4 linked regions of the Elephas maximus indicus genome follow. The protein of the gene in region 1 purifies or fractionates together with the protein of each later gene. This does not show direct contact. Links are inferred from orthologs where the notes say so. Each region holds a gene or a part of one and is shown in the gene's direction. Other genes may lie near its edges. The genes, in order: EXOSC10, EXOSC9, EXOSC2 and EXOSC3.

What was found.
Region 2: the proteins of EXOSC10 (region 1) and EXOSC9 purify together in Homo sapiens (co-immunoprecipitation; 7 studies listed by BioGRID and IntAct, with this or other methods). This does not show direct contact. The link is inferred for Elephas maximus indicus from reciprocal best matches to the Homo sapiens genes EXOSC10 and EXOSC9.
Region 3: the proteins of EXOSC10 (region 1) and EXOSC2 fractionate together in Homo sapiens (co-fractionation; 9 studies listed by BioGRID and IntAct, with this or other methods). This does not show direct contact. The link is inferred for Elephas maximus indicus from reciprocal best matches to the Homo sapiens genes EXOSC10 and EXOSC2.
Region 4: the proteins of EXOSC10 (region 1) and EXOSC3 purify together in Homo sapiens (affinity purification with mass spectrometry; 8 studies listed by BioGRID and IntAct, counting the BioPlex papers as one, with this or other methods). This does not show direct contact. The link is inferred for Elephas maximus indicus from reciprocal best matches to the Homo sapiens genes EXOSC10 and EXOSC3.

What each region holds. Positions count from the first base shown.
Region 1 is NC_064821.1:50,946,781-50,954,920, reverse strand, and holds the start of EXOSC10 (exosome component 10), read left to right. Parts: upstream 1-5,018; 5' UTR 5,019-5,055; coding exon 5,056-5,166; intron 5,167-8,140. Other genes in the region: serine/threonine-protein kinase mTOR, read left to right, coding at 649-664. UniProt on the Homo sapiens protein: Catalytic component of the RNA exosome complex which has 3'->5' exoribonuclease activity and participates in a multitude of cellular RNA processing and degradation events.
Region 2 is NC_064823.1:25,405,515-25,413,057, reverse strand, and holds the start of EXOSC9 (exosome complex component RRP45), read left to right. Parts: upstream 1-4,295; 5' UTR 4,296-4,384; coding exon 4,385-4,450; intron 4,451-4,832; coding exon 4,833-4,927; intron 4,928-5,719; coding exon 5,720-5,839; intron 5,840-5,955; coding exon 5,956-6,058; intron 6,059-7,543. UniProt on the Homo sapiens protein: Non-catalytic component of the RNA exosome complex which has 3'->5' exoribonuclease activity and participates in a multitude of cellular RNA processing and degradation events.
Region 3 is NC_064827.1:81,633,953-81,642,284, forward strand, and holds the start of EXOSC2 (exosome complex component RRP4), read left to right. Parts: upstream 1-4,776; 5' UTR 4,777-4,812; coding exon 4,813-4,934; intron 4,935-6,511; coding exon 6,512-6,613; intron 6,614-8,092; coding exon 8,093-8,138; intron 8,139-8,332. UniProt on the Homo sapiens protein: Non-catalytic component of the RNA exosome complex which has 3'->5' exoribonuclease activity and participates in a multitude of cellular RNA processing and degradation events.
Region 4 is NC_064827.1:46,654,030-46,661,764, reverse strand, and holds the start of EXOSC3 (exosome complex component RRP40), read left to right. Parts: upstream 1-4,603; 5' UTR 4,604-4,667; coding exon 4,668-4,988; intron 4,989-5,727; coding exon 5,728-5,877; intron 5,878-7,579; coding exon 7,580-7,731; intron 7,732-7,735. Other genes in the region: uncharacterized protein LOC126082813, read right to left, coding at 2,639-2,677. UniProt on the Homo sapiens protein: Non-catalytic component of the RNA exosome complex which has 3'->5' exoribonuclease activity and participates in a multitude of cellular RNA processing and degradation events.

The sequences.
Region 1 (8,140 bases):
GATAGCAAAGAAAAATACTGTGAATCTCCACAAAGGGCAATGACAATCCCCGTCTCTTTAATGTATCTCTTCACTGTGTGTGCTCATGGTGCTAAAAAGGAGTTCTTACTTCAATCTCAGCAGACACGACATTAGAACATTCAAAAACGGAGGAATATGGATGCATATTTGAAAGGCAAACAGTGAAATTAAATTACATTAAGAGAAATGATTTAGGATAGTAATTGAGGCTTTTTTTTTTTTTTTTTTGAGAAGGGTTCTTTTTGTGTTCTTGCTGTCAGTTCAGATACAGGAAGGGTAAAGAAAAAGAAATCAGAACAGTGACAGAGAAGGAGATGAAAAGACAGATTTATGATCTGGGATTGTAACTTCAAGGACCACTCTGAGCTCTGCTTTGATTAATTGCCGGAGGCATGCCTGAAGGTAGAGATGGGAGGGAAAGGGCAGTGGGGAGGTGTCCTTCTGGGACCTGACAGGCATCAGCCCTTGATTGGAATAATGAGTGTGTCCCACACAATTAGTGGTGGGAGATCTCAGGGAGCAGCCCAGGGGTTCTCAGACCTTTGTCTTTCCGTTTTCAATGTGTGTGTGTAAAGCTTTGAAGAAGCTCAGATTATTAAAATATTCCTTTTCTGTCTGTCTTCTTAGGTGTCCTTTCTGGTAACTGGAGGCCCAGACATGCCCACAGCATTTCCCTTGAGGCTTTTGTACTTTGGTATATGCTTCCACTAAACTGAAACCATGGTCAGAAAGTTTGACTTTGTTAAATATTTAGAAATGTAAATGAAAAGAACTACTGTACATTACAAGTTGGTTTGTGCCAACTTTCTAGCTGCTGTTGAAGAATATATTCTCAGAAACACAAGGCTTGATTTGGTTCCCAGGACAGTGAAACATGGTGACATCACATAAATCAAGCCATTGACTTGGGGGAACAGAAGATCCATAACTTTAGAAATACGGGTTTTGACCGAACTCACAAGAGAACTCATAAGTGTTTGCTGATAGAAGAATGACCTACTCGTTCCTCTCAGCACAGATACCGCAAACTCCGCGCAGTCAAGAAGCCTCAGGTCGTGGAGGAGACACATTAGGATTCTGGACTGTAAGGAGCTAGGAGAAGCAGAGATCATTACCTTCTTCATCCCATTACCTCACGCGTCCGTGGACAGCAGCAGCAGTGTTTTCAGGATGGGCCAAAATGGGGGGAGAGGTCTGTCTTCTGCCTGACCCAGTGATGCTGCGACTTACACATGTCAACCCAAGACCTGAACCCAAGACCTGACTTGCTAGGAGGGGAGCTTATTCCAATTGCTGGGCAGCCTTGGCTGAGCAGACGCACAGCAGAGATCACAGTGTAGTGAGGTGGCCCACCCCAGCATGGTCCTGGGCGACTTTCAGTGAGGTCTGAATGCTCCACGTTTAGAGCAAGGGCTTGGGGAACAAATGCTGTCACGCAGGTGCTGAACATAGAGGGAAGGTCTAGTACATGTTGGGAATTATGAGCAAAATAAATATTAAACTAAATGCACAAAGTATAAAGTGTAGCCATGTCTAGACACCATGTTGTACCTGAATAATTTTTGTGCCAATAAATGACATGAGAATTTTAAAAACATGTATATGGGTGACTTTTTATTCATAATTATTAGTCAATTCAAAAAGGAGGCATTTATTCCTTCAGCATTCAACTTTCATTAAGCACTTGGTACTAGGGACCAAGAAAGACACAGGATGTACATGACATGGTCTCTTTCTTCAGCATGTTTCCAGGCCAGAGGTTAGGACAGCATAACAGAGTAGTGAACTGATCACTCCACCACAGCTAAGTGCTAAGAGCCATGTACAGAATGTGAGCCATTCCAGCAGGTTAGCCGGGAAAGCCTCATGGGAAAGAGGATATTTGTGATGGGTCTTTAAGGATGAAAAGGAATTTGTCGGATGGAACAAGTGAGGACATTCTCAGCAGGAAAGAAAATGTAAGGCACCGAGGCATGAAAGCACAATACCTTACAGGAATGGCAAGTATTTATTTGAATCAGATGAATTGCAGGTATTTGACCACTGTGTTAGCGGGAGCATGAGGGTCACAAGACCACATCTTTGTATCCCTAGAATCTGCCAAGATCTCGCCCACAGTGGTACTCCATAAAGGTTTGTTAGAAGAACTTGGCATCAGGATTGGAGGAGACTCATTAATAACCTGTGATATGCAGATGACACAACCTTGCTGAAAGCAAAGAGGACTTGAGGCACTTACTGATGAAAATCAAAGACTACAGCCTTCAGTATGGATTACACCTTAACATAAAGAAAACAAAAATCCTCACAACTGGATCAATAGGCAATATGATAAACAGAGAAAAAACTGAAGTTGTCAAGGATTTCGTTTTACTTGGATCCACAATCAACACCCATGGAAGCAGCAGTCAAGAAATCAAATGATGTATTGCATTGGGCAAATCTGCAAAAGACCTCTTTAAGGTGTTAAAAAGCAAAGATGTCACTTTGAGGACCAAGGTGTGCCTGACTCAAGCCATGATATTTTCAATCACCTCATATGCATGGGAAAGCTGGACAATGAATAAGGGAGATCAAAAAAAAAATTGATACCTTTGAATTGTGGTATGGGCAAAAAATATTGAATTATACCATGGATTGCCAGAAGAACGAACAAATCTGTCTTGGAAGAAGTACAGCCAGAATGCTCCTTCGAAACAAGGATGGTGAGACTTCATCTCACATACCTTGGACATGTTATCAGGAGGGACCAGTCCCTGGAGGACATCATGCTTGGTCAATTAGAAGATCAGTGAAGGAGTGAAAGACCCTCGACAAGATGGACTGACACAGCAGCTGCAACAGTGGGCTCAAGCATAGCAACGATTATGAGGATGGTGCAGGACCAGGCAGTGTTTCGTTCTTGTGTACATAGGGTCACTATGAGTCGGAACTGACAGGACGGCACCAAACAACAACAGAGGACTCTTCTGTTAAATTTAGATTTCAATCATGGTACAGATAGAATTTTTAACACAGGAAGTCTCATCTCTATTTTAGATTTTCTATAACAATCCTAAACCATACGTCACCTATTTTGCTGTCAAAAAAATGTGGTTACCATGCTCAGACCACACCTGATTTATGTCTAACCTCATTGGTGCTAGATGAAGTGACTACAATGATGTTACCTTTTATGAAATACAAAGGATATGGGAATGAATGGACTCAGGAAAATGGTTATTAGTGGCAGAGACAAACTCCTTAAAGCATGAGAGTCACTGGGATTAAGATCTTTGGTGAATCCAGTGGGTTTTATGCCTAAGCAAAGCCTTCTGACTTTGTTGAGATGATGGAGGCCTTAAAGACAGCCTAATTAACCCATCAATCCTGAATGGTTTCTTGGAACCCTGAGTAAAGGGAGGAAGGGATATGGCCAAGAATGACTTTCAGGACCCTTCCATCCCTAGGATCCCATAGGCTGGGGCTTAAAATGGAGAAAAAAAAAATATTTTTTTGGAGAGGCGGTATAAATTAGAGTTGAGGCTCTCGTGTCAAATTTTAAAAATCACTGTCAGGTCAATTCCGACTCATGGTGACCTGTGTGTTACAGAGTAGGACTGCTCCATAAGGTTTTCTTGGCTGTAATCTTTACAGAAGCAGATCGACAGGCCTTTCTTCCACGGCACCATTGGTGGATTCGAACCGGCAACCTTTCACTTAGTAGTTGAGTGCAACCCAAATTACCTACTTTCAAATCTCAACTCCACCTCATACTAGCTGTGTGAGAACAAGTTACTTAATCTCTCTATGCTTGTTTCCTTATCTGAAAAGGTGAATAATAGTATGTTCTACCTTACAAGGTTGTGAGGATAAGACAATCCATGTAAAGCACTTAGCAGAGCCTGACATCTGGTATTAAGTTAAACCATACAAAATAAGTGCACAAAAATATCATTACAATGAACTAGGCCTTTGTTCTGTCAGGGTACCTTTGTACCCGAAGTACCCAAATGGGAAAAAATGAAAAGCAAGTATCCTACGTATAGGATATTCTGAATAACAATAACAGCTTACACATTGAGCACTTACTAAGCCAAATGAATTGTACTAAGGGTGTGCCACCCATGCTCTTAGTAGGAACAGTACAGCCCTATGAGTCTCCTGGAGACCGTGTCCTGAGTGCCTCACTCTACAAGGGTTCTACCACTTACTCATTTAACAAATGCTTATTGAGCCCCCACTATGTGCCTTAACAAGAATAGTTCTAGTGGTGTAGATGGTGAACAGTGTCTGACTGGACGGGTTCAGGGAGAGCATTAGCGAATGAGGAAGTCCAGCCGGAGCGTATAGACGTCTCCTTCCAGTTTTCCTACAAAGGGCAAGAGAAATATGGTGGTGACCGGAAGGACATGTGGGGTCGAGTTTTTTTGTTTTCCTTTTAATTGGGAGACATTTCAGCATAAGTGTAGGTCGCTAGGAATAAATCGGTAGCGAAGGAAAAGATGCCACAGAGAGCAGGGATAATTGCAGGGGCCAAGATCTTAAGTGGGCGAGGGGGCACGGTTCCAGAGACTGGTAAACACCAAAAACCAAACCGACTACCGTCAAGTGCATTCCGACTCATATCGTCCCTATAGATCCGAGTAGAACTGCCCCGTAGGGTTTACAAGGCTGTAAATATTTATGGAAACGGACTCCCACGTCTTTCTCCGGCAGAGCGGCAGATGGGCTCAAACCAAGCGCTTTAACCACTCCGTCACCACAGCTCCCTAGAGCTTGGGAAAAAATTGGCTTTAAATGTGAGGATCCTTGTGTCCTCCAGTTCCCATTCTAATCACAGGGTTGTTATGAAGACGTTATACGAAGCTAAAGGAAAATTTAAAGTTCCCTAGGTGGAGCGCTAAGAGCTGACACCGGAACACAAACTCCTGGCTCGCCCCTTCGCCCCCTCACCCCACCTCGAAAAACGGCTGTCGCACTTGCGTCGTGCGCACCCGTCGCGTCGGCCTCAGACACTCTCGCGAGAAAAGAAGCGCCGTGCCAGCCGCAAAAATGGCGCCTCCCAGTCCTAGAGAGCCCAAGGCCCCGTTGGCTACGAGTGCGGCCAAAACCGACCGGGAGATGGTGCTACCCGGCTTCCCGGACGCAGACAGCTTCGTCAAGGTGAGTTCGCGGGGCCTTGGAGGCGCCGGGAGTCGCCTGCGGCCGGCAGGAAGCAGGCCCGGACTCTGCCGCAGATACGGACGCGCGTGGCACAGGGGAGCCCAGGGCGGGGGTCGAGGGGCCGCTGCCGCCGCTGGGCACAGTCCCCTGTGCATCACCCTCCGCGATGAGGTCCTGGACGCGGAAACAGAGCCCTCGTTCTCCCGTTCGGACCCATCCTGCTCCGCCTGTGGAGAGACCTCTTCGCGTCCTGGGCAGGACTTCCTGTCAGTCTGCCGTTCCTAGGCACGGCGACCACCCAGACCCCACGCCCGTGCCTAACCCCTACCCCCGCCGGCGAACTCTCCGGAGCGTCCGGCTGCTACGCATCCCACACAGGCCCAGCGTACTGGCCTCCCGCAGTCGGGATGGGCTTCCCTCTCCTGAGGTCGAGCTCCACAGCGTTTCCAAGCCTTTCGTTAAATGTATTCTGATACAGCTACTGTGAGTCTCCTCCAAGTGATGTACCACATCTGTTAATGCCTCCAACTAGACTGGAAGTTCCTCGAAGCAACACGGAGAGGGTTCATTTAAATTATTTGTACGTTGTTGTTGACCTGTCCTGCGCCATTCCACAGTCGTCCTTAGGCTTGAGCCCATTGTTGCAGCCACTGTGTCAATCCATCTCCTTGAGGGTCTTCCTCTTTTTCACTGACCCTCTGCTTTACCAAGCATGATGTCCTTCTGTAGGGACTGATCTCTCCTGACAACGTGTCCAAAGTATGTAAGACGTAGTCCACCATCCTTACTTCTAAGGAGCATTCTAGTTGTACTTCTTCCAAGACAGATTTGTTTGTTTTTTCGGCAGCCCGTGGTATATTCAATATTTTCCGCTAACACCACAATTCAAAGGCGTCAATTCTTCTGTCTTCCTTATTCATTGTCCAGCTTTGACATGCATAAAATGTGACTGAAAATTACCATGGCTTTTTTTGGGTCAGGCATACCTTAGTCTTCAAGTTATTTGTATAATGCAGCTTAAATATGAACACACATGAAACTAGGTTTAAACAAATTATGCATTGCTCTTACACAGCCATAAAACTAAAATAATATGTAAGTTAATAAGAATTCCCCCAAAATTCCTCACTTAAACTCTAATTTTTTAATAATTTTTATTGTGCTTTAAGTGAAAGTTTACAAATCAAGTCAGTCTCTCACACAAATACCGATATACACCTTGCTACACACTCCCAATTACTCTCCCCCTAAAGAGACAGCCCGCTCTCTCCCTCCACTCTCTCTTTTCATATCCATTTCGCCAGCTTCTAACCCCCTCCACCCTCCCATCTCCCCTCCAGACAGGGGATGCCAACATAGTCTGAAGTGTCCACCTGATCCAAGAAGCTCAGTCCTCACCAGCATCCCTCTCCAACCCATTGTCCAGTCCAATCCATGTCTGAAGAGTTGGCTTCTGGAATGGTTCCTGTCCTGGGCCAACAGAAGGTCTGGGGGCCATGACCACCGGGGTCCTTCCAGTCTCAGTCAGACCATTAAGTCTGGTCTTATGAGAATTTGGGGTCTGCATCCCACTGCTCTCCTGCTCCCTCAGGGGTTCTCTGTTGTTTTCCCTGTCAGGGCAGTCATCGGTTGTAGCCGGGCACCATCTAGTTCTCCTGGACTCAGGATGATGTAGTCTCTGGTTCATGTGGCCCTTCCTGTCTCTTGGGCTCATAATTACCTTGTGTCCTTGGTGTTCTTCATTCTCTTTTGATCCAGGTGGGTTGAGACCAGTTGATGCATCTTAGCTGGCTGCTTGCTAGTATTAAGACCCCAGACGCCAGTTTTCAAAGTGGGATGCAGAATGTTTTCTTAATAGATTTTATTATGCCTTTTGACTTAGATGTCCCCTGAAACCATGGTCCCTAGACCGCTGCCCCTGCTGCACTGGCCTTCGAAGCATTCAGTTTATTCAGGAAACTTCTTTGCTTTCGGTTTAGTCCAATTGTGCCCACCTCCCCCGCATTGCGTGCTGTCTTTCCCTTCACCGAAAGTAGTTCTTATCTACCATCTAATTAGTGAATGCTTGTCTCCCACCCTCCCTCCCTTCCCCCTCTCGTAACCACAAAAGAGTGTTTTCTTCTCAGTTTAAACTGTTTCTTCAGTCCTTGTAATAGTGGTCTTATATAGTATTTGTTCTTTTGCAACTGACTAATTTCACTCAGCATAATGCCTTCCAGGTTCCTCCATGTTATGAAATGTCTCACAGATTCCTCCCTGTTCTTTATCGATGTGTAGTATTCCAGTCTGTGAATATACCATAATTTATTTATCCGTTCATCCATTGATGGGCACCTTGATTCTTTCCATCTTTTTGCTATTGTAAACAGTGCTGCAATAAACATGGGTGTGCATATATCTGTTCGTGTAAAGGCTCTTATTTCTCTAGGATATATTCCAAGGAGTGGGGTTGCTGGATCATATGGTAGTTCTACTTCTAGCTTTTTAAGGAAGTGCCAAATCGATTTCCAAAGTGGTTGTACCATTTTACATTCCCACTAGTAGTGTAGAAGTGTTCCAATCTCTCCGCAGCCTCTCCAACATTTATTGTTTTGTGTTTTTTGGATTAATGCCAGCCTTGTTGGAGTGAGATGAAATCTCATTGTAGTTTTGATCTGCATTTCTCTAATGGCTAATGATCGTAAACATTTCCTCATATTTCTGTTAGCTACCTGAATGTCTTCTTTAGTGAAGTGTCTATTCATATCTTTTGCCCATTTTTTAATTGGGTTACTTGTCTTTTTGCAGTTGAGTTTTTGCAGTATCATGTGGATTTTAGAGATGAGGCGCTGACCAGAAATGTCATAGCTAAAAACTTTTTCCCAGTCTGTAGGTAGTCTTTTTACTCTTCTAATGAAGTCTTTGGATGAGTATAAGTGTTTGATTTTTAGGAGCTCCCAGTTATCTAGTTTTTCTTCTATGTCTTTTATAATGT
Region 2 (7,543 bases), on another chromosome or scaffold:
TGTTTGGTAACAAAAGACCAACTAAAATGTATCAGCTCACCTAACTTGGGCATCCGAAAGGTGTTGCAAACTCTATTTCTACATAAGGACTAGACTTTTCTCTCTTATTTCTCAGTTTTGATAGCCTCTCCCTGACTTCTTCTTCAGACAGGTTCTCTTGTGGTGGCATGTCCTAACAGTTCCAGGCTGACATGATATGTAGAGTTTATAAATCCAGAGAAGAAAAGACCTTCTCTGTCCCAGAGTTCACATGTCAAGACTGATGGAAAAACTATGCTTGGGCCTACCTGGGCGAACGGTCAATGTGGTCGGCAGATACAGTTCCATGGTTAGCAAGGACAGGTCACACCCACAACTGCTGTTACCATCAACACCAGAATCACGTAAGGTCCAAAAAAAGAAAAACCCGTTGCCTCTGAATCGATTCCCACTCACAGCAACGCCACGTGGTGTCAGGGAAAGGCACTTCTACAAGAAAAAGAGGGGTGCTGGTCAGACAAAGCAACAGGTGTCCACTGAAGAGAAGATGTATATTTGAAGAATTTGTTGAAAATCAGGTTATATTTAGACAGCTCATCCAGGTTAATATGTTGCTTCAGACTGATTTTTTTCATAACAGCAGAATTTGCAATGTTATCTGAACCTCTTTCCAAACTTCAAAAACTTTTTTCCCCCTAAAAGCCGAAAACAAAGGTTCCCTTGGCATTTCAAGAGCTTCTTACTAAGAATAAGGTCCTGAAGCAAACACATTGTACTATGGTATGCAGAGGTAAGTGGAAATGGGATCATATACCTAGGAGTTAACTTCAATAAAAGACAAGTGCTGCAGTGTTAAAATTACAATAATATAATAGTGAAAGTAAGAAATATTGGTAGAAAGTCTACAAAAATCGAAGGAAAAACAAAGGCAATGTAGTCAAGACAGCAATTTGAAATGCCAAATTTGGGAAGACTCACAGGATGGCTTTGCCAAGCCAAAAAAGGAAGGAACCTAATGTTTGAATAGCTACCGTGTCTAAAGCATTGTGCTAGAAGCTTTTACTCATACCACTTAACACACGGTAATTATAATTTTCAAACTAAAGATACAGAAACTGAAGCTCAGAAAGATTAACTCACCAAAGTCCATTTGTAGTCTATCTGAAGTCAAAGTCCACTCTCTTTCTACTACCAAGATGCCTTCCAGAGAAGGATAAACAACTTCAATAAAGGAAGGTCACTTCTAGGAGCCATGGTGGCAGAAACAGTTAAGTGCTCAGCTGCTAACCAAAACGTAGGCAGTTTGAACCCCGCTAGTGACTTCAGGGGAGAAAAGACCTGGCAATCTGCTCCTGTAAAGACTAAAAACAAAACAAAACCCCGTGCCATCAAGTCGATTTCAACTCATAGCGACCCTACAGGACAGAGTAGAACTGCCCCATAGAGTTCCCAAGGAGCACCTGGCAGATCCAAACTGCCGACCCTTTGGTTAGCAGCCGTAGCACTTAACCACTACGCCACCAGGGTTTCCCTGTAAAGATTACAGCCTAGGAAACCCTATTGGGCAGTTCTACTCTGTCATGTGGAAACCCTGGTGGTGTAGTGGTTAAGAGCTACGGCTGCTAACCATAACGCTAGCAGTTTGAATCCACCAGGCGCTTCTTGGAACTTCTATGGGCCAGTTCCACTGTGTCCTTTAAGGGTCCCTGTGAGTTGAAATCGGCTTGACAGCAATGGGTTTGGCTTGGATTTGGTTTACTCTGTCATATAGGGTCACTATGAGTCAGAATCAACTCCACAGCACACAACAACAACAACACATCATTTCTGAAGGAAAAGGGAAATTACTAAATGCTTGCTGAAAGAACCCAAGGATTTAAATGATGAACATAACAGCCAGGAGTTCTGATATAAAATTCTGTACTAGAACTTACATTGTTAAAGATCTTAAATGGCCTGTACCCTGTAATCCCCTTGCCTGTTTTGAAAATTAATAAACTGAGCATGTGGGCATAATTCCTGCCCACTTCCCTCCTTCTTCACAACTCCTCTCTTCACAGTTCCTGTCTCCATGTTGAGCTCATTCCTATCTCAGTTTTTGCACACTTGCTCCATCTGCTTGAAACACTTTTCCTTTCCCCAGATGAAATCATGGCAACCTCCTTCTCACTACTATTAATTAAACTGTCACCTCTACAATGTGAACTTTTCCTGCAACTCCCCATTCCCAAGTAGCACTTACCAGTGTGTGAAATTGTTTGTCTCCTCTGAAGAGAACAAAAATTCCTTGAAGGCAAGAATGTTGTCCACCCCGTTTCTCCTGTGCCTGAATTATTCTTGGGACATAGTAGACCCTCTATAAACAGTTACTGGGTACATGGATTGCAAGAGTTACAAGTTGAGACTACAATGTATCACTGGTAGAAAAAACATGTGAGTAGGAATAAAATAATCATAATCAAGCCTGTGTAGAAATTATAGTACCTGCCACCTCAAAAGCAAAAGGAAGCAAAATAACAAGCAAATATTTAAATAGTGCTTACTCCACACTGGAAACCCTGGTGGTGTAGTGGTTAAGTGCTACGGCTACTAACCAAAGCGTCGGCTGTTCGAATCCGCCATGTGCTCCTTGGAAACTCTACAGGGCAGTTCTACTCTGTCCTATAGGGTCACTGTGAGTCAGAATCGACTGGATAGCACTGGGTTTGGTTTGGTTTTGGTTTACTCCACACCAGGCCTTGTTCTAAGCCATTTACATACGTTTTTGTTGCCTGTGGTCAAGTCCATTCCGACTCATAAACTTGTTGGCATGGAGTACATTCAGATTCATATCTACCTTATAGGACGAAGTAGAACTGCCCCATAGGGTTTCCAAGGCTGTAATCTTAATGAAGCAGATGACGAACCTTTCAGTTAGCAGCAGAACGCTTAACCACTGTGCCACCAGGGCTTTTATTGCACCACCACGCCTCCTTATTTAACATATATTAACTTTTTTTTTCCCACCGCCCATTTCTCAGTTTGTTGTAGTGTTGTGGCTTGCATGTTGCTGTGATGGTGTAAGCTACGCCATGGGTGTTTCAAATACCAGCAGTATTTTGAAACTGGTGGACATGTTTCATGTTTCAAATGAGCTTCCAGACAGAGACAGACTAGAAGAAAGCCCTCTTGATCTACTTCTAAAAATCAGCCAATGAAAACCTTAAGGATCACAAGAGAACACTGTTAAACTCACTTGCTTTGGACATGTCATCAGGAGAGAACAATCACTGGAAGAGGAAACGCTGTTTGGTGAATGTGGAGGGCCAACAAGGGCAGAGGCCCTGGGTGAAACGGATTGACATAAGAGCTGCAATGGACTCAAACAAGCCTCCCCATGGTGAGAATGATGCAGAACCACAAAACTTTTTATTCTGTTGTACATAGGGTCCCCATGGGTTGGTTTGGAGTCAACTCCATGACAGCTTTCGACCTACCTATCCATTTTCCCTAACTTGTTTTTATCCTTCACAATGAATTGGTTTATTACTCCTAATTTTCAGACAAGGAAGGTGAGGCACATAAGTAACTTGCTCAATGCCACAGAACTAGTCAATGGCAGAGCCAGAATTTTAACTCAGGCAGTTCGGAGTTCCTGCTTTTAACTACTACTTAATATTCTCACTCCAAAAAAGTTGAGTGGTTTCACTAAGCCCCCCAAAATAAGTCTATCGGCTTAAAATAAGTTGAGACAATAAGAAATAAACAGTAAATTCAATTTCAGTCGATGGTAACTATAACACCATTAGTTACAATGCAGGAACGTTCTCAAGTCCTGTGAACTCAGTTCCTATGAGGTTTCACTTTCAGTCTTCTATTATACCCAGCTCACCTTCTCAACTTTCTTCTCCCCATTCGAGGCCCATTTCCCCTCTTCCAGGGTTTTTTTTTTTTTTTTTAATCTGGCTGCAAGCTTTGCCTCAGTGGCTTTGGAGTAGACAATCTCAGCTTCCTCATCCGTAAAATTTCACTAATAACTGTTCAGCCTATCCCGCTAGAATTGAGGAAAGGGCGAATTGTGAGAGCGCTGTACTAATATTAGTTAATAGCATTCGGCTGCTTATTGTTTGTGCCCTTCTTTCCTGCCCAGAAATATACAGTAAAAGAGGTGGGAAGATTTTCCTCTGCAGATTCAGAAGCACATCTCTTCTGAAGCCCCTCCGCTTCTCCGAAGCCACTTCGCCCTCCCCAAATTCGCTCTGAGCCTGCGCACTAGCGACGTCTAGCTCGTTTTCCCACCGCCAGCCGCGCTCCTTGATGACGCAAATTTCCGGCGCGGCAGGGTGACCAGGGTGCGTGTGAAGGAGAGCGGGTTTCTCTTTCTCCACGGATACCGGTGCCAGGGTGGCCAGCAAGCCGCTACACCATGAAAGAGACGCCGCTGTCAAACTGCGAGCGCCGCTTTCTGCTCCGCGCCATCGAAGAGAAGAAGGTAAGAGGCCCCACAGACCTGCGCGCTGAGTGGCGCTCCGGTCGCATGGCCGACCTCAGCCTTCCTGTCTAGTCGCGCAGACCTGACCAGCGCTGGGCCGGGATCCCCCGAGGGGTATGGCCGGTGCGTCCCCCTTCCACTCGTTTTTCTGCCCGAACCCGTTCTTTGTAAGGCTCGTGTCACCCGAGTTACTGTCAGTGCCCAGGTGCCTAGTTGTCACTCTCCTGTGGGGATGGAAGAGTTTGTTTTGGTTTGGTTTACGGGGGTGGAGTAGTAAGGATCCCACCACTTTCATCCAGTTGCTTAGACCAGGCTCTGGAATATAGTGGTTGCTCAGTAAATCTTTGCTGAAGGAGTAAATGAACGAATGTTGTGTTTACAGCGGCTGGATGGCAGACAAACCTATGATTATAGGAACATCAAGATATCATTTGGAACAGACTATGGCTGCTGTATTGTGGAACTTGGGAAAACAAGGTAACAATTCAAGTTAGATGTGAGTTCGATAGCGGACAGTGTGTAAAGAACCTTGACTGTTTACAGAGCAGCGGGGAAGTCTGGACAGTACGTTGTTAGCTGCCCAAAATAAGTATATTTTATTTAAGGCAAGATTTTTAGGTATTACAGTTACTTTATTTTTTAATCATAAATGTATTTTCTGTCATACGAGTGTCATATCATTCTTTTTGAGCTCTGTAAATTATATAGACAACCAGCAGTGATTACACTGAATTTGTTTTGGGCACTGCAGTAGCCACCCTTCTTTCACCTTCTAATGTGAGTAATGTAGAGATCCTGAGCATCTTGTCCTTAAGTAGGTCCCATTTTCCTTCTTCTTACATGGCCTGAGAGTTAGATTGGTATGTTCATTTGGAAGTTGTGAGTATATTTGGTCAGGTAATGTTAGCGAACTATGCCGTGTGAAAATTTTTAAGAAATCTCAAATTTTCATGCTGTCTTGATTCAAACTGGAAAGGAGAAATAAAGGTAATTGATTTTTTTAAAAACAGTTTTAAGAATCTATGGAATAGTACCTATTGTAATAAGAGGTTTTTTTTGTTGTTATCCCTTTGGCTGTACCAATATATGTTTTAGTTTTGCATGTATTTTACTACTAGATACGTGGTTTTTACCTTTTATGATACATCAAGCCAAGCATGTTATTACTGAGATAAGATTGAAATTTAATTGGTACCTGTTTTAGATTTCTTTTTTTATTTGGAAAGGAAATATGTTTATTTAATGCATTTGTGTCCTTTATCTTTGCAGAGTTCTTGGACAGGTTTCCTGTGAACTTGTTTCTCCAAAACTCAATAGGGCAACAGAAGGTATTCTTTTTTTTAACCTTGAACTATCTCAGATGGCTGCTCCAGCATTTGAACCTGGCAGGTATTTAAATCTTTTTCTTAAGCTGGTTTAGCTAGAGGGAAACCTAACAGCAGTGAACTATTGTTTTAATGCCTGATATTATATTTCGTGACATTAGTCTATTCCTGTTTTCCTAGGCAGTCAGATCTCTTGGTGAAGTTGAACCGACTCTTGGAAAGATGTCTGAGAAATTCAAAGTGTATAGACACTGAATCTCTCTGTGTTGTTGCTGGTGAAAAGGTGGGGAATATGCCTGAAATTATTAACCTTTGAATGGATATTGTTAATTAATGGGATCCTGTATCTATACCCTCATTTTCAGAGCTTTAGTTAATTCAGTTTGTACTGGTTCACTTTAGTGCAAATGCTTCCATGTGTTCTCCAGAGAGCCTTTTATTATCTCTCTCTGAAGGGACAAAATCATCGTCCTTAAAAGGGAAATGTTTCATTCGAAGAACTTGTGGCTTTTTCGTATCTTTTTTCATTTATTTTCTTATGTTATTTAAGTGTGTTAATAGAAGTACATACTGTTTTCCGATTTTACAGATGGAGAAGTGAAGAATGAATAAAATTCTTCATTTGGGTACATTTATTGATTTACAGAAACCATACAGTGAGTCAGTGGTAGGGCAGAGACTAGAAATCCTGGTCTTAATAAATTGTGCTGTATGGTGATATTAGAACTTTATTCTTTTTTTTTAGTTGGTATTTCTTTCCTGAATTTTCTTTTCTTTTATTACATTGTTGACATGTTTTGTTTAATTGTACTTTAGATGAAGGTTTACAGAACAAACTAGCTTCTCATTAAACAGTACACATATTGTTTTATGATACTGTTTAACAACCTCATGACATGTCACCACTCTCCCTTCTTGCCCTTGAGTTTCCTATTACCAGCTTTCCTGTCCCCTCCTGCCTTCTAGTCCTTGTTCCTGGGCTGGTGTGCCGCTTTAGTCTTGTATAGTTTTATGAGCCTGTCTAATCTTTGGATGAGGGGTGAACCTCAGGAGTGACTTCATTACTGAGTTAAAAGAGTGTCCAGGGGGCATGCTTTCAGGCTTTCTCCAGTCTCTGTCAGGCCAGTAAGTCTGGTCATTTTTTTTGTGAGTTAGAATTTTGTTCTGCATTTTTCTCCATCTCTGTCTGAGACCCTCTGTTGCGATCCCTGTCAGAGCAGTCAGTGGCGGTGGCTGGTCACCATCTAGTTGTACTGGACCCAGTCTGGTGAAGGCTATGGCAGTTGTGGTCCATTAGTCCTTTGGACTTATCTTTTCTAGTATCTTTAGGTTTCTTCATCTCCCTTTCTCCCAAAGGGTGAGACCAGTGGAATATCTTAGATGACCACTCGTAAGACCCGAGACGCTGCTCACCAAAGTAGAATATAGAACATTTTCTTTATAAACTGTGTTGTCAGTTGAGCTAGATGCTCCTCGAGACCATGGTCCCCACAACCCTTAGCGCAGCAATTCGATTGTCCAGGGAGTTTGGGTGTGTCTGTGGAGCTTCCAGGACCTTGCTTGCACAAGTTGTTTTGGCTTCCCCAGTATTGTGTACTGTCTTACCCTTCACTAGAGTTACCACTTACCTATTGTCTGTTTAGTGTTTTTCTATCTCCACCGCTCGCCTCCCTCGTAACCATCAAAGATTGTTTCTTTTTGTGTGTAAAACTTTTCATGAATTTTTATAGTAATGATTTCATATGATATTTGTCCTTTTGTGATTGAC
Region 3 (8,332 bases), on another chromosome or scaffold:
ATGGTACTCCCACATACACCCTCCTTTGTGGGAGTCATCTCATGCCCTGGCTGGTGGGGCACAGGCAGGGAAGTACACTGATGTGTTCACATGCAGGCTCCATCTGGGGTTTCCTGCCTCTGGCTGGTGACAGAGCCATCCTTGATATTCCTCCCACCCCCGGTCACAAACTTCGCCTCTCCTTTTTTTTTTTTTTAAACAGGCAGCCAGTTTTATTCATACAGTTATTTATTTGGTAGTTTTTTTTTTTATTGTGGTAAAATGTATATAACAAAATTTATCATTTTAACCACTTTCGAGTGTACAGTTCAGTAATGTTAATTACATTCACAATGTTGTGTAACCATCACCGCTATTTCCAATAAGTGAGTTTTACAAACCTTTTTTATCATCCTTACCAGAAACTCTATACTTATTAGGCGATAACTCCACATTACCCCTTGCCCCTGACCCTGGTAACCTCGATTCCACTTTCTGTCTCTATGCATTCGCCTAGTGCCTCTCCTTTGACGCCTCTCCACTAGGCTTTCGAAGCCTCTGGTAGCCCCTGGTACCACCCTCCACACACTGCCTCCCCCACCCAGGCATCTTGTCCCCACAGCCAAAGTTTGTATGTCCCGAGGCCCCTTCCCTCTGGATGATGACGGGTGAAGTGGAATTAAACACCATCATGGCTCACACTTCATGCCTCCCAGACAGTAATGCCCAAATAAGGTAAAATGCTGGCTTTCTGAAGAACCTGCAGGAGTCAGACTTCAGAGAAGTCAGTGGCGTCCTTGATCAAAAATTTAAATTGTTCTCCATAGGTAGTTAAGTCCCAGCTAACACCAGGGCCACAACCCAGGCTCCAGAACCCACCTGGTGGCAGTGAGCTGTAATTGCAGACCGAGGTGCCACTGGCTTGCCAGCTGACCTGCTTCTACAGACACGTGTCAGGGCCTGTGCTAGGCACTGGGGAAACAAGGATGAACAAACAGGGCTCATGGTGCTGGGAGGCTTGACGCCGAAAGCCTTATCTCTCACCTTGGTTGCATTTCCAGCAGAGACCTTGACCCCCTTTCCCAAGCGTGCACTCCCTGGACAAAAGCATGTGAACACAATCACAGCAATTTCTGTGGGCCAGCCCAGGCTTAGGGATTTAGATGCATGCATTCTGGGAACCCTGCCAACAACCCCACAAGGCCAATGCTCTTTTTATGTCCATTTGAGGTATGAGAAAACTGAGGCATAGAGAGAGCAAGTCATTTGCCCACATCACTCAGTGGAAGAGTGGCAGAGCAGGGTTCCACCACAGGCATCTGACTCTCAGGAGCTTTAGGGCACACCACTTCCCATTCAGTCCACAGATTCAGTCCAAAGGACCTGCTGCATTTCCCATAGGGGTGCAGTGTAGACCAGCATTGTACACTGACCTTGTTTCATGTGACCTTGTAAAACTCACCTATTAGTTCCTGTGGCGTTTTGTAGATTCTTTCGTACTTTCTACGTACAGTATCATGTTGCTTGTGAATAAAGAGAGTTTTATTTCTTCCTTTCTAATTGGATGCCATTTATTTCTTTCTCTTGCCTTATGTCATCGACCAGGACTTTCAGTAGTAGAAGGACTCTAGAGGCTGGGTTCAAATCCCAGCTGTGCCACTCACTAGCTGTGTGAATTCGGGCAAGTCAATTAACGTCTCTATGTCTCAGTTCCCTCACATGGAAAATGGAGTGATACTTAGCTCCTAAGGATGTTGTGAGATTAGATGGAATAATGCATATAAATGAATAAAGTACATGGCTCAGTGTCCAGTACATAGTAAATGCTCAATATATGGGAGCTGTTATTAATAAAAGAATGCTTTGGTGTGTGCCAGGGGTTGTAGACACCCCCAAGAGGGCATCTGAGGCAGCTGTTAAACCCCTTTCCCCCAACTGTTTTCTATACTTATGACCCTTGGGTCTCTCAAACTGGAGGATCATATATCCTAAGTTTTCAGCTTCTTTCCTGCTTTGGAACTGGCCCACTAGGAGTATGTGTCTGTGGTTGGGTGGGGAAAATTATGGAGTGTGACTAGATAGCTCCCACCCATGACCACCTGACATCTGTTTTGTAAGACAGGCCCCCCACTCCTGGGCTCCTGGCTAGAGAAGGCTGCCCCAGGGTAGGGATGTTATGTAGAGAAGGCTGCCTCAGGGCAGGAACGTTATGTGGGTGGAAATCAAAGTTTATGCACAGATATATAGGCAAATGAGGTCAGAGACAGGCAGGGGCCAGGTCCCACAGGGCCTCAACGCCAGGATGATGAGTTTGGATTTTATTCTCAGTGTAAGGGGAAGCCACCAGAAGTTTAAGCAGGGAGAAATTTAATCTGATCTGATTTAAAAATATCCCTCTAGCCCTTGTACAGAGACTAAATGGTAGAAGGGGCAAATACACAATTAGAGAGGCAAACTAGGAGGTTATTGTAGCCACTCGAGTGAGTGGTGACACTGATTGGCCTGGAGTAGTGGCCACAGAGATGCACAGATTGAGATGTAGATGGAGGAATCCGAGAATTAAAATGACCAACGATTAAAATCACATGGGGAGTTAAACACATACTGATAGACCTGCGGGCCTCACGCTTGTAAAGCCTCAATGCCTAAATCTGGGCTTGGAGCTTGTATTTTCAACAAGTCCTCTGGGACGTGCAGCCATGTTTCCTGAGTCTACTCATCCACAAGGTAGTGAAGAGGCAAGTGTGGTAGAGTGAGCAGAGCCTGGGGTGGGAAGGCCAGCTGCCAGTTTGTTTTTGGGACTTAACGGCCCCAAATGACTGTCAGAACTAACAATGCCTACCTCCATGATGGGCCAAGTTGTTGTGAGGAATCAATAACACAATGTTTTTAAAGTGCCCAGCAAAGGCCCGGGCCTTTGGGAAACGTTTAGCAAACGGTGCAGGCCCCGGAGTAAGGCAGGTACAGTTGGAACACTGGCTCTGGCACCATCTGCTGTGTGAATTCTCATCCTTTTTGATAATTTAATCCTCTGTATAGTCCCTGTGCATCTATAAGAAAGCATCCATTCTACACTGACACACTTGGCTTTAAAGTCGACTCCGCAGCAATCACTTTTAATACCAACGTGATGACCAAACAAAAAACCTGTTACCCTTGAGTCAAATCCAATTCATAGCAACCCTATAGGACAGAGTAAAACTCCCTCCATAGGGTTACTAAGGCTGTAAATCTTTACAGAAGCAGACTGCCGATCTCTCCCCCCATAGAGTGGCTGTTGGGTTCAAACTGCCTTTCTGTTAGCAGCCCATTGTGCTTAACCACTGCAACACCAGGGCTCCCTCTGTAAACTAGGAGTGCTGTGAGAATTAAAGGAGTTAAGGTTTTGTTCATCCTTCCTAGTGTAAAACAAGATGTCAAGACTATACCCCACCCCTTGGTCTAGGGGCACGCAGAATCTTGCTCTGAACTGGCTGGGCTCTGTCGGCTCGCAGGGCACCACTGCCCTCTTATGGCCAAGGCTTGACTCAACAGATGGGCCCTTGTACTTTCTTCTGCTCCAGTGCCTTCCTCAAGGTAGGGAGGAGGGTGAGGGTCTGACCTGCCCACTTGTCCAATGACCAGCAGAGCTCTAGCATTTATATCAGAGATTGCCTCACAGGGTTGGTAGTCATGAGCCTTGCTTAGGTGAAAGAAGTGTCCTCTTTTTGGAAATTCATAAAACAATTGATCTGATAAAACTTCAGGAAGCAGCGGGCCTGATCTACTGAGTAGAGCAAGCAGTATGTGGCTAATGCAGGCAGTTCTTCCATTTAATCCTTAAAAAAAAAAAAATTTTTTTTTTTTAATGGTCCCTGTGCATGAAGAATTATAATCTCCAATTTCCCGAGGCTGAAACACAAGTTTGTTGTGCTATAAACCATGAAGGACAAGGGCCAGGGAGAGCATAGTGGGGGGCAGGAAAAATGGGTGAGGGAAATGCTCGCATTAAGTAGGACGTGGAGGTGAAGCCACATACACATGTTCGCTGCATCCTTAGAAAGATGCCTGGCACACAGAAAGCGCCAATTCACAAGAAGTATAAATACAGGTGAGAATCTTTGTGTTATGTGGGCACTTGCTCTCCTTGCCAAACATACCTGCCCTGCAAGGTCTGACTGGTTTTTTTTAAGACAGTTTCTTGTTTTTTCAAAAGAAATGTTAAAGTAAATCAGCTCACTCAAAGAACGTTACAAGGAAAGTAGAAAACCAGTGAACAATGCGGAACATTGTTGGGAGGAGTTGATGGTTGGTGCCGAACCAGCAACCTACACGGGGGCTGTAATGTAAAATACTGGCTGTAATGTAAAATAAGCCACTAGGAACGATGTGGAAAGGGGCTCTCCTTATTGTCCAATACTATTTTCTGTAGATCTTACCTATGGATCTTTCTAGATTCTTTCATACAAAAAAAAGAACCAGACTCTTAGCGGCTTAGAGTTGTCAGGAAACTCAGAGGTCCATTTCTCAAATATCTCTAATCCTGGTAAACAGTAAACGGGATAGTGTGTACGAGGCAGTTTTGGTAAAAATCCAGGCGTCACACAACGTGAAACTTTGCTATTTCACTGGCGCAGCCTTGCCAATAGTAAACATGGCAATTCGGCTCCTCTTTCCCTTCAAGTTAACCTAAGGGTTGCCACTAGTCAACATGGCCGCCAGCCCGTGACCGCCTATTGGCGGCTTCTCAAAGGCCCTGCTCTGCCCCGCCCCTGCGAGCGTCCGCGGGGAATCGCGGGGACGGATATCGTGGCTCCGGGCCCGGTTGCGCCTGCGCAAGTCATTGGCGCCAAGATGGCGATGGAGATGAGACTTCCAGTGGCTCGCAAACCTCTCAGCGAGAGCCTGGGTCGCGAGACTAAAAAACACCTGGTAGTGCCGGGAGACACGATCACTACAGACACGGGCTTCATGCGGTATGTAGGGACCTGGGGGACTCGGGACTCCAGTGAGCGAGTGCAGGGCTCAGCACGTGGCCTACTAGTCCGAAACCCCGGCCTGCAGAGTCTAAGCCCTTCCTTCATTCAGCGCAGATCTCCAGAGCACCCCAGTCCCCGGGTTTCCGAGGACTCGGGCTTCTCACTCTCTGTTTTGTGTGTTCGCGTTTGTCTCAGCCCCCTGAAGCCCTTTTCTCCTGACCTCTGGTGGCCGTGGTCTCTCGGGTCCTCTGCCTTTGGCCCAGATCTCTAAGCCTTCCTCGTTGGAGACCTGGAAAACTGGGGAGAGTCTGGAACAAGGGCCTCTTTCCAGTTTTCAGGAGAACGGTGGGCGTTTCTGATTTGGCTTCCATCTCCCTCAGTGTCATCTTGGGACCAGGGGCTGGGTTTTGGAGTCAGTAGTTTGGGTTAAGGCAGACAAATATATTGTGCTACATGCATCGGAATATACAATCTTTGACCTAAAGGCAATGTAGTTTGTTATGGTTAACAGGGCAGGCTCTTGAGTGAAACGGTCCTGGTTCCAGTCGTGCTGCCATCATTTATTATTAGCGGCATTATCTCCTGAAACATTATTTCCTCGTTTGTAAAATAGTGATGACAGTAGCTATCTGGGAAGGTAGTGAGGATTAAATGAGATTATAATGTGAAAAAGAGAAACAGAGCCCACCAAACCAAAAAAAAAAAAAAACCAAACCCATTGCCCTTGAGTAGATTCCGACTCATAGCGACCCTATATAATCCCACCTTAAACACTATTAACATTTTAGTTGGTTTGTTTGTTTCTTTTTTTGCAGGGGGTGGGGGAGACACATGTACATATATGAGGAATACAGCATTTACAACATTGCCTTTTTGCCCAAAACCAAAAAACCGAACCCACTGCCGTCAAGTCGATTACGACTCATAGCAACCCTACAGAACAGAGTAGAACTGCCCCATAGAGTTTCCAAGGAGCACCTGGCAGATTTGAACTGCTGACCCCTTGGTTAGCAGCCATAGCACTTAACCACTACGCCACCTTTTTGCCCAGTTTGAGGTTATTGAATTCTCGGAAATCTTAAAACTCATTCCTGCGTTCTTGGCATTCGATACATTTATATTATGTGCGGTTGGGGTACAACAATGAACAAAATGAAAATCTCTGTCCTGGCGGAGTTTAAATTCTAACAGGGACAGACAGATAATAATTAAGTAATCACAACAAATAAATAAATTGTGCAGAATGTTTGGTGAAAGTGCAATAATAAAACAAAAAGCAGAGCAGGGTCATTGGAATGGGGTTGGGAATGTGGTGGTATGGGCAGCAGAGTGGATTACTGTTTTAAATGAGGTAGGTCAGATGGAGAAAGTGATGTTTGAACAGACTCGAAGATGAGGGAGACGTCCGTGTAGCTCTCTGGAGAGGCAGTGTTGCAGGCCCGTAGAGTAACCAGTACAAAAGCCAGGCTTTAAGGCAGAAGGAGCGTGTTAGGTTTGAGGAACACATTGTTCTTGAGGGGAGAGGTCACCTCAAGTGTTACCCTAGTATCCTTTGTATCTGTATCTTGCAACAGGGGTCATGGAACGTATATGGGGGAAGAGAAGCTCATAGCATCTGTGGCTGGCTCTGTGGAGAGAGTAAACAAGTTGATTTGTGTGAAAGCTTTGAAAACCAGGTGAGGACAAAAGGTGTGTATTCTCTTTCTTGAGACAACATATTGTGTGACCAAGTCTATTCTGTCTCCCTCCTCCCAATTGCCCTATCATTTTGTGAGTCTGTGATTTTGAACATGACTGTAAGAAAGATTGTATGGAGATTATATGTAAGGTTTTCCCCCATTACTTAACCTTTCCAAGCCTTGGTTACTTCCTCTGCAAAATGAGGATAAAAACACAAACTGCCTTCTAGAATTTTTGTTAGAATTTAGCGAAGCGATGAATTTATGTAAAATACTTAGCACAGAGCCTAGTACCTAGAAGGGCTAAGTAAAGGTTAGCCCCAGGAACAGTGAGTGAGGGGGACGGTAGGAGCATATACAGGCAGAGAGAGAGCTGAGGTGGGAGGACAGTCTGGCTTGCCTTGTAGGCCATTGTAAGCATTTTGGCTTCCACTTTGCGTAACCTGGGAAGACATTGGAGGGGTAGAGCAGAGGAGGGACATGATCGACTTATATTTTAATAAAATCTGTCCTATAGAGTTGCTGTGAGTCGGAATCGACTCGACGGCACTGAGTTTTTTTTTTTTTTTTTTTGGTCTGGCTGCTATGAGGAAGTTGAAGGGGAATCGGGGCAGATTTAGGAAGATGAATTCATCTGAAGTAATGGGTAGCTTGGAATGAAGTAGTAGAAGTGGAAATGGGAGTAGTGATTTGATTCTGCATATATTTTGAAGGTAGAGCTAGCAGGATTTGCCGCTGGACTGATCATGGAGCATGAGAAACAGAAAGGAATCAAGGATGCCTCTCCAAGGTTTTTGGCTTGAGCATCTGGTGGGATGAAGTCACCACTTACTGAGATGGGGAGAGGAGAAGAGGAGGTTGCTTGCAAGCTTAGTTTTGGGCTTGTTAAATTTGAAAATGCCTATTAGTCATTAAAATGGAGTGTGTGGGGTAGTCATCAGTAGTATTTAAAGCCATTAGATTGAATGAACTTACCAAGAGATGAGTGTGAACTGAAAAGTGAAGAGGCCCAGGGACTGACCTTGAGCATTGGAACATATCATCATTAGAATCAGAGCAAAGAGGCCTGCGAAAGGGCAGCCATCGGGTAGGAGAGGTGGCGAGTAGGCCCATTTAACTGGCATCAGTGCCTCTTTGGGTGGCATCCTGTCTCAGAATCTCCTTTTTCCTCTTCTGGCTGGTGCAGAGCCCACAGGAAAACATTCTATCCTTTACATTGACCTAATAAAATAGGGATTTCAGGCTTATTAAACCACTTGGCAATAAGTAGTTTGTTTAAGAATAGTTAACAGAGAATTTATTCATGTAGGAATGTTTGGCGTTATCAATTTCTGAAAATAAGTCTGAACAGCCTAGTTAGGTAAGTTTGCTAAATGTGCCTAATCAGGCCCTCATCCAGTTGTAACTGAAATCTCAAATGGTGCTTGGCCATGTAAGACAATCTGTTCGCTGATGACCTTTTGCTTTATCTTTCAGATATAATGGTGAAGTAGGAGACATTGTAGTGGGGAGAATCACAGAGGTAAAATTGATATCAGATTGATTTTCGAAAGGCAAGCTGGTGATTTAATGAATGGCTTAGTCATTCTGTGTGTAGTTATATTAATGAGGCATTCATTCCATTTGGCTGTTGTGTGACCTTTGATGAAAACATTTGGCTTGTTATATTTGGGATTATCAGTCACTTAAGATGTGAGCACTTGCCCCTGGAGTACA
Region 4 (7,735 bases), on another chromosome or scaffold:
CCTCAGTTATGGTGCAGCCCACTGCATGCATAGTCACCATTTGGGCACACTGCATTCAGTCCACTGGACTTGGGGGCAGGTGAACCAGTGCTATCATGCTGATGATCCTGCTGCTTGTTGTGTTACAGACTAATAAAGTTCTCGATCTGACCCACTGAATCTTTCCATACACTTTTGGTACCTACAGAGCTGCAGTAGGTGAACATGCTTGTTTGTTTGGTCATTTCCTTTGGAGTTCTGTTACTTTTTGTTATCCTCTGTGAGGTCGGGGTTCTTTTCCTGACAAGTTCCAGTAGAACATGACTTTCTTCTGCAGGTGATGAGGCAAGCCATGAGAGTTTTGCAGGAAAGAAAGTGAGCTGGATTTTAAAAAGATGGGTAGTAGCCTTAGGGAGGAAGGATGAACGTTTGAAGAGTAAAGAGGGTGATGAGTCAGAAGGTTGTGACAAGGGCCTGAACAGTGATCAAGGGTTTGGAAAAGAGTGGAAAAGAAAGAGCAGGGAGGCCCATTTCTTGGGCTCTGACTCTGACAAAACATTCTCCACTGTAGTTTGGGGACTGAGTTTTTCTTGCAAATGTGTTGCTCCTCACTGCCTACAGGATAAAATCAAAATGACTTAGCAAGTCATATACAAGACCTCATGCTATTCTGTCCTGCAGGAATACTCTATCCCTGCCCTTTCTCCCTCCTCGCAAAGGTAGGTACTGTTATCGTCATTCTATCAATGAGGAAACTAAGGTACAGAGAAGTTAAATAACTATGTACATGGATATGTAATCTATTGATAACTGTGATTATCCCTAAGGAAGTAGAGAGAATGGAGTTTGAAGGGGGACTTTATCCACTTCCTTACTGTTGTATTTTTTAAATGTTTGTTAAAAAGTTTTAAATTATTTTAATTGGTTAAACAGGGTATGAAATGACTACCAAATGGTGACATGACACCTATTACAAAGAGTAAATATGAACTAGAAAACAAAACAAAAAAAACAAACCCACTGCTGTTGAGTCGATTCCGACTCATGGGACAGAGTAGAGCTGCTTCATAGGGTTTCCAAGGCTGTAAATCTTTACGGAAGCAGACAGCCACATCTTTTTCCTCTGGAGCCGGCATGTAGGTTCCAACTGCTGACCTTTCAATTAGCAGCCAAGCACTTTAACCACTGCACCACCAGGGCTCATTTCCTTATTGTAGTTTTGAGTATTTGCAATTGGTTTTATGTTGTGATACACCAGGACCAAGCTTAAATGCCAGCCAAATAAGAAAGAACCTAGCTTGTAATGTAATTTAGTTCAGATGGGAGTGTGGGGACCATACAAAATTTTATGGAATTGCTAACACATACAAAACTATTTGGTAAGGGGAAAAAAAAGTTTCCTTATGTTTTACTTTCTCCCATAAGTCCTAGGTTTAAGAAGTTATGATTCTTTGTGATTAAAAACATCTGTACATTTGTGTAGCGGTAATTGTAAGCACTTATGCTTTTAGATTATATCTGTATTTGAGTAATACTAATGATTACTTCCACTGACTCTTTTACTAACAATTTCTGTATATAAATCAACGTAGGTTTCATTTGTAATTTTTAGAAACCAGTAAACTAAAAAACTTTCAGGTTTCACTTAGGAATCCCCTCCACTGGAATACCTACCCTGTCCCCTGCCTTCCCCTGAGACTTAAAAAAAGAAAAAAAAAAAATTGTTGTCAAGTTGATTCCGACTCATAGGGACCCTAAAGGACAGGGCAGAACTCCCCCATAGGGTTTCCAAAGAGCAGCTGGTGGATTCGAACTGCCAACTTTTTGGTTAGCAGCCGAGCTCTTAACCACTGCGCCATCAGGACTACCCAGATAGAGGTAACTATTTCATCCTGTGACACCCCAATCAGGTTTTTACTGGAGCCACCATAACTCATCAGTACTGTCATGTGTAGACAGTGAACTTGCCCAGGGCAGAAATCAGGATTCAACTGACTCCTCAGCTCAATTCCTGGCCCACAGCAGATGTTCAACAAGTGTTTTTGATTGAAAAAGGGGGAAAAAAACCCAACATTACCAGTCGAAAAAGAAAAGCAACCATGAAAAGCTACTCTTCCAAAGTCCAAAGTTTCTAAAGACGCGGTTCTGGGAAAATATCCGGAAAGCCACGATCAACCTTTCGACAAGGCAATTGGCAGTTCCCCCAGGGAAACAGTCAGAAAAGGGAAGAAAGAGGTATGCCAGAAGGCACTCGACTTGATGCCACCTCTACTACACTGGCACCAAACCAGTAGCACCCAAACAAAGAGGCCTAATCCACCTGGATCGATCAGGCCTGTAAAAGTCACACGTACACGGCCTGTGGGTGGAACGTGGTCTCGAGGCCAGAAAGCGCACACCGACTGCCCGGGGCCACCTGCTTCTTCCATATTCTGCCAATCGCCGTGGCCACTTTTACAACCAGAAGAGACACTAAGCGTTATTATGAGATCTTTGTAACTGCAACACCAGGGACCCCAAGAAAGGTCTCACGCTCCCCAGAATTCAGGGGCCGTGAGCTCGAGCCAGGTTCTACACACTCGCTCGTAGCCTCAGTCTCCCACCTCCACGCGAGTGGATACCCGAATCCTGGGGGCTCTGCCCACGCGCTCTCACTCACCGGCTGGCGCAGGACGCCAAGGCGGCGAAGCACCGACATCGTGGCTCGCTGCGTAGTAGGCAGGCTGCCTTCTCACGTGCACCACGCCCCCTCGACACCGCCCCTTCTGGGTGTGTCGGGGTGGGCGTCTCCAGGGAGGCGCTGATGACCCGCCCCGTCTGCCCCGGCTTCCAGCCTCTAAGTGACCTCACTCTTCAGGGCCTCTGTTGCTTCATCTATGTACTTGGGAATGACCCAGACGGATCTCGAAGTGTTGCGCTCACAGGGAAGTGGACTTGAAAGAGCTCCCCTGGCAGGTTTGGGCTGATTTTCTTCCAAACAACCCACAACCAATGTAGGGTGCGTGAGGAACAGTGCAGGGAACGTTTCCCGGCCTCCCTCTGTACCCGGCCTCAGCCTAGAGTCACTGAGAATCCTTCTGGAATGCCCTTAGACTGGACAGGATTGAGACCGAATACCTACTGGTTCTAGGCCCTCTGTAGCTGGGTTTACGTAGGGAGGAGAGAAGCAGAATTTATACCCTTTTTCTCCCGAGAGCTCCTACTAATGCCAGGAAAACTGACCAAAAACAGTTCTTACAAAAATCTGACTGCAAAGCAAAAGTTGGCCTCTCATGACATCTGAGGAAAATGGCACGCCAGCATCCCACCAAATTTGGGTCGTGTGTTAGAGATTGTCTGTCTTAAAAACACCTTAGAATTCTAAAAAATTCACTTTGGAAGTGGGTGCCTCAAAAGATGCGAAGAAACAGAAACCCAGAAAAAACAAACCAGTTGCCCTCGAGTTTATTGTGACTCATAGCTATCCTATAGGACAGAGTAGAACTGCCCCATAGGGTTTCTAAGGGGCTGCAGGTGGATTCATACTGCCCATCTTTTGATTAGCAGCCGAGCTCTTAACCACTGCGCCACCAGGGCTCCAAAGGGGCCCCTAAAATTCATCGGTCAGAGCGACGCCCTCCCAATTCCCAGCAGCTCTCACAACTGCTGGAGAATCTGACCAACCACTAATTGGAGGTGCCAGTTGACAGAGAAAACAGTGATTTCAAATAATACCCCTGAGTCATAAGGGCAGGAAGCCTTGAAGTACTATGAATTTGCAATTCAGCTGCTTCTTACATGGGCAACCAAAGTGTTGGTTCAGGGTAAGTAAAACCTACCTACTGCCATCGAGTCGATTCCGACTCATAGCGACCCTGTAAGACAGAGTAGAACTGCCCCACAAAGTATCCAAGGAGCACCTGGCGGATGTGAACTGCCCCAGGGTAAGTAGCAGCAGGGATTCAACTGTAGTTAACTGATTTTCCCACGTCATGTAGGTGTAGCTCAATTATGTGAAACTGTGCATGTGATGTGTATATTTGCAGAAAAATAAGTCTAGCGAGAATACACACCAAAATGTTAACATTCATTCATCCAACACGTGTTACCTATTTCACGCCAGACCCTGGGCTACAAAGAGTCAGAACTAGGGCTGACGGTCTAGCTTGAGACAAACGGGTAAAACCAAGAAGTTATGTTTATTAATTCTGTGTTTTCCACAATGCGAATAAACGCCTTCTTGGCAACAACCAAAAAGGTTTTAGTTTGGAAAGAAAATACCTCTCCTGGTAAAAGGTCAGCCACCGTTCTGAGGGCAGGCTCGAGGCGAAGGGACTATGAGTCCACCCGACCCCCAACTCTGGAAGCCCCTCTGTTCAACTCCCAGGATTCCATACAAGGGAGTATCTTGTATCTCACGGTGCGACCGGCCACAAGACACGCGGCCCGAGACACCCGGAAGTCCAGGCTCCGCGGTCTACTCAAGCTGAGCGTTTCTCATAACACCCGGAAGATAGACAACTGACCAGGAGGAACCACAACCACCTTGGGGGTATCCGCCGGCTCACGGCGATTTGGCTTCACAGACGTAGGAACCACTCCCACTGACCCGTAGCGCCGGAAACGGAAAGTGCTGAGCGGGCTGGCGATTGGGCGCAGAGCCGGAAGTGGAAGCACGGTGCCGGAATTGGTGTTTGGTGGCGCCTGGTATGGGTGAAGCTGCGGCTATTGCGTCCGAATCCCTCGCGGGCAGTAAGGCCCGGGCGGCGCGCACAGTGTTAGGTCAGGTGGTGCTCCCGGGTGAGGAGCTGCTGCTGCCGGAGCAGGAGGACGCAGAAGGCCCTGGCGGTGCTGGGGAACGACTGCTGCGCCTCAACCCCGGGGCGCGTTCGCGGGTGCGCGTAGTGTGCGGCCCGGGCTTGCGGCGCTCTGGGGACCGTCTGCTGGTCACCAAGTGCGGCCGCCTACGTCACAAGGAGCCCGGCGGCGGCGGCGGCGGCGTTTACTGGGTGGACTCACAGCAGAAGCGGGTGAGCTGGGGCTCCGGAGTGATATCCCTATCCAGCGAGAGTGGTATCCCTATCCTGGGGAACTTCCTGGAAGAGAAAAAGGAGGGGACCCTGAAACACCGTCTGTCATTTTGAGATTGTGCCCACCTTCCCATCTCCTTTGAGGGACCGTGAGCAACAGGAACGTGGCCAAAGAAGGGCGATCAGGGGAGAAAGGCGTGTGGAAACCTTAGCATATAAGGGAGATAAGGACTGTGACATATGGCCATTGTCTTCAAAACCCCAAAGGTCAGGGAGCGACACACTTGTTCTTTGAGGCCCCAGAGGACAGAATCAGGCTTGATGAGTGGATATCATCAGGAGTTAAATTTCTCTCAGAATAAGTGAGAACTTTCTCGTAGGCAGAATTGTCGAACAATGGATTGGGCTTCTTTGGTAGTAAGGAACCCTGTGCCACTGGATGTAAGTGCAAGCAGAAGCCGGAGACTTTCTGGTAAGGGTGCTGAAGATGGTATTCAGGTATGGCATACTGGCACCAATTAACAGACTTTTAGAAGCTGCAAGCTTGAGAGAATATGATGTGACTGGTTTTCATTTACTGAAAGTGGTATGTGATAAAGTTTGTTGTAAAGTTTCTATAAATAACTTGAATTGCAAAATATTTTCTAAACATTTTAATGATAATCATAACAAAGTAAACACTAAGGACTTGCTGGAAAAAATTTAATTTGTGGCTGTTCTTTCATGTTTTCTTTTGTAGTATGTCCCAGTGAAAGGAGACCATGTGATTGGCATAGTGACAGCTAAATCTGGAGATATATTCAAAGTTGACGTTGGAGGGAGTGAGCCAGCTTCTTTATCTTACTTGGCATTTGAAGGTGCAACTAAAAGAAACAGACCAAACGTGCAGGTAATGATGGGGGCCTTTGGTTTCAAAAGTATAAAAAAAATAAACCCATTATCTAGAATACAAAAATATCCAGAAGGCTACTGAACTGTTGCCAAAGCGTGACCACTTTTCCTAGTTTTATAGGATGATCTCTCAGGCTTCCAAGAGTTCCTTCAGGTGCTTCAGCTCTTGAACTAGACTACATATGTGTTTTATGTTTGCAACATTTGTTCTTGGAATGTTACATCTCTACTGCATTGAAAGGTTTTATCTGTTATCTCCAGTATCACGGGCATTGACCAAGGTAGTCAGCAATAGGCTCAGAGAGGGAGAATGGACAAGTGGCACAAATTGCCGTATCAGCCATCCATCCATCCTGGTTGTAGGCCCTGGGACAGGCATCTCACGGTGTAGCCATACTGCCCTCTGTCCATCCAAACCAGAAGTTGAGTGGTTTCTTTGCCCCTTCTAACTCCTCGCATGTTCTCAGTTGCTTTATTGTTTCTCTGATCTTCATGTCTACCCCCTTTATCTCAACTTTGCGAGTTCAGGCCTTGCTACCCTTAACTGGCCTTGGTCAGTGACCTCATTAACATCCCTGCCTCCACACTCTCATCCTTCCATCTAGGCTTTTCAGAGCTGACATCCTTACATACTCCCTTTCTCAAAACATGAATGTTCTTCAAAGCCTAAAGAATTCCTTGGCATGACACCCCAGGGGTCTTGCCTCATCCATAATTATATCTTGCATACAGCCATGCTTGAGCCACACCAGAGTATTTGATAGCACCACTAAACCCATAATTTCCTGCCCTTGTACCTTTGCTGATGCTGTGCCCTCTGTCCCTTGTACCTCCGCTCAGGCTTTATCTGTGGGACATGCTCATTCTTCAAAACCCAGCCAAACACCAGATACCTCTGTAAAGCCATCTCCAATCTTGAATCACTTTAACTTTGTTCTAGCACTTACTGGATTCCGGTTTGAATGAAGTTTTTGTTCATATGTACATCCTAACTGCCCCCAAAGACCAAATGTTTCTGAAGGGTAGCAAATGTTTTGTTCATCTGTAGTTCTCAGAGTCAGTGTTTTGTTGAGCAAACAGAACAAGTTCACTGTCTTTCCTCAGTATTATCATTTTGAAGTTCCACTGCATGAGATTTTTAAGTAAACCTTACATGGAGAAATATCAGTGGCTTATCGTTGCTCCAGCTATTTTGCTTGAGCATGCCAGGAATTCCTTCCTCTAGCCATAAACCTTCTGGAATCCTAATAGAACTTTCTGTGATGATGCTAATGTTCTGTACCTTCACTGACAGCCACTGGCCACATGTAGTTATCAAGGACTGAAATGTGGCTAATGCAACTGAGGAACTGAATTATATTTTAATTAACTAAATTTATTAAATTTAAATGTAAGTCTAAATAGGCACATGTAGCTAGCGGCTAACATAAGGAACAGTGGAATCCCAGAGTATGTTGTCTGGCCTTGGCATTGCTCCCGTTTGGGGATTTCCTGGTGTTTTAAAGGGTGAAGGTACATGTGTTAATACTGTCTTCTTTTAAGACTCAATTCCAAAGTGACTGGATCCTCAAGTATAGTCAGTCCATTAGCCACAGAACTGTAGGTAGCTGCCATTGCTGCCTGTGTGTGGGAAAGAACCAATGGCAGGACCTGTAGGATGGTTTCTGAGATGAAATGAGCTGTTTTTTTGATTATTGTAGGTTGGAGATCTCATCTATGGCCAGTTTCTGGTTGCTAATAAAGATATGGAACCAGAGATGGTCTGTATTGACAGCTGTGGACGAGCCAATGGAATGGGCGTGATTGGACAGGACGGTCTGCTTTTTAAAGTGACTTTGGGCTTAATTAGAAAGTAA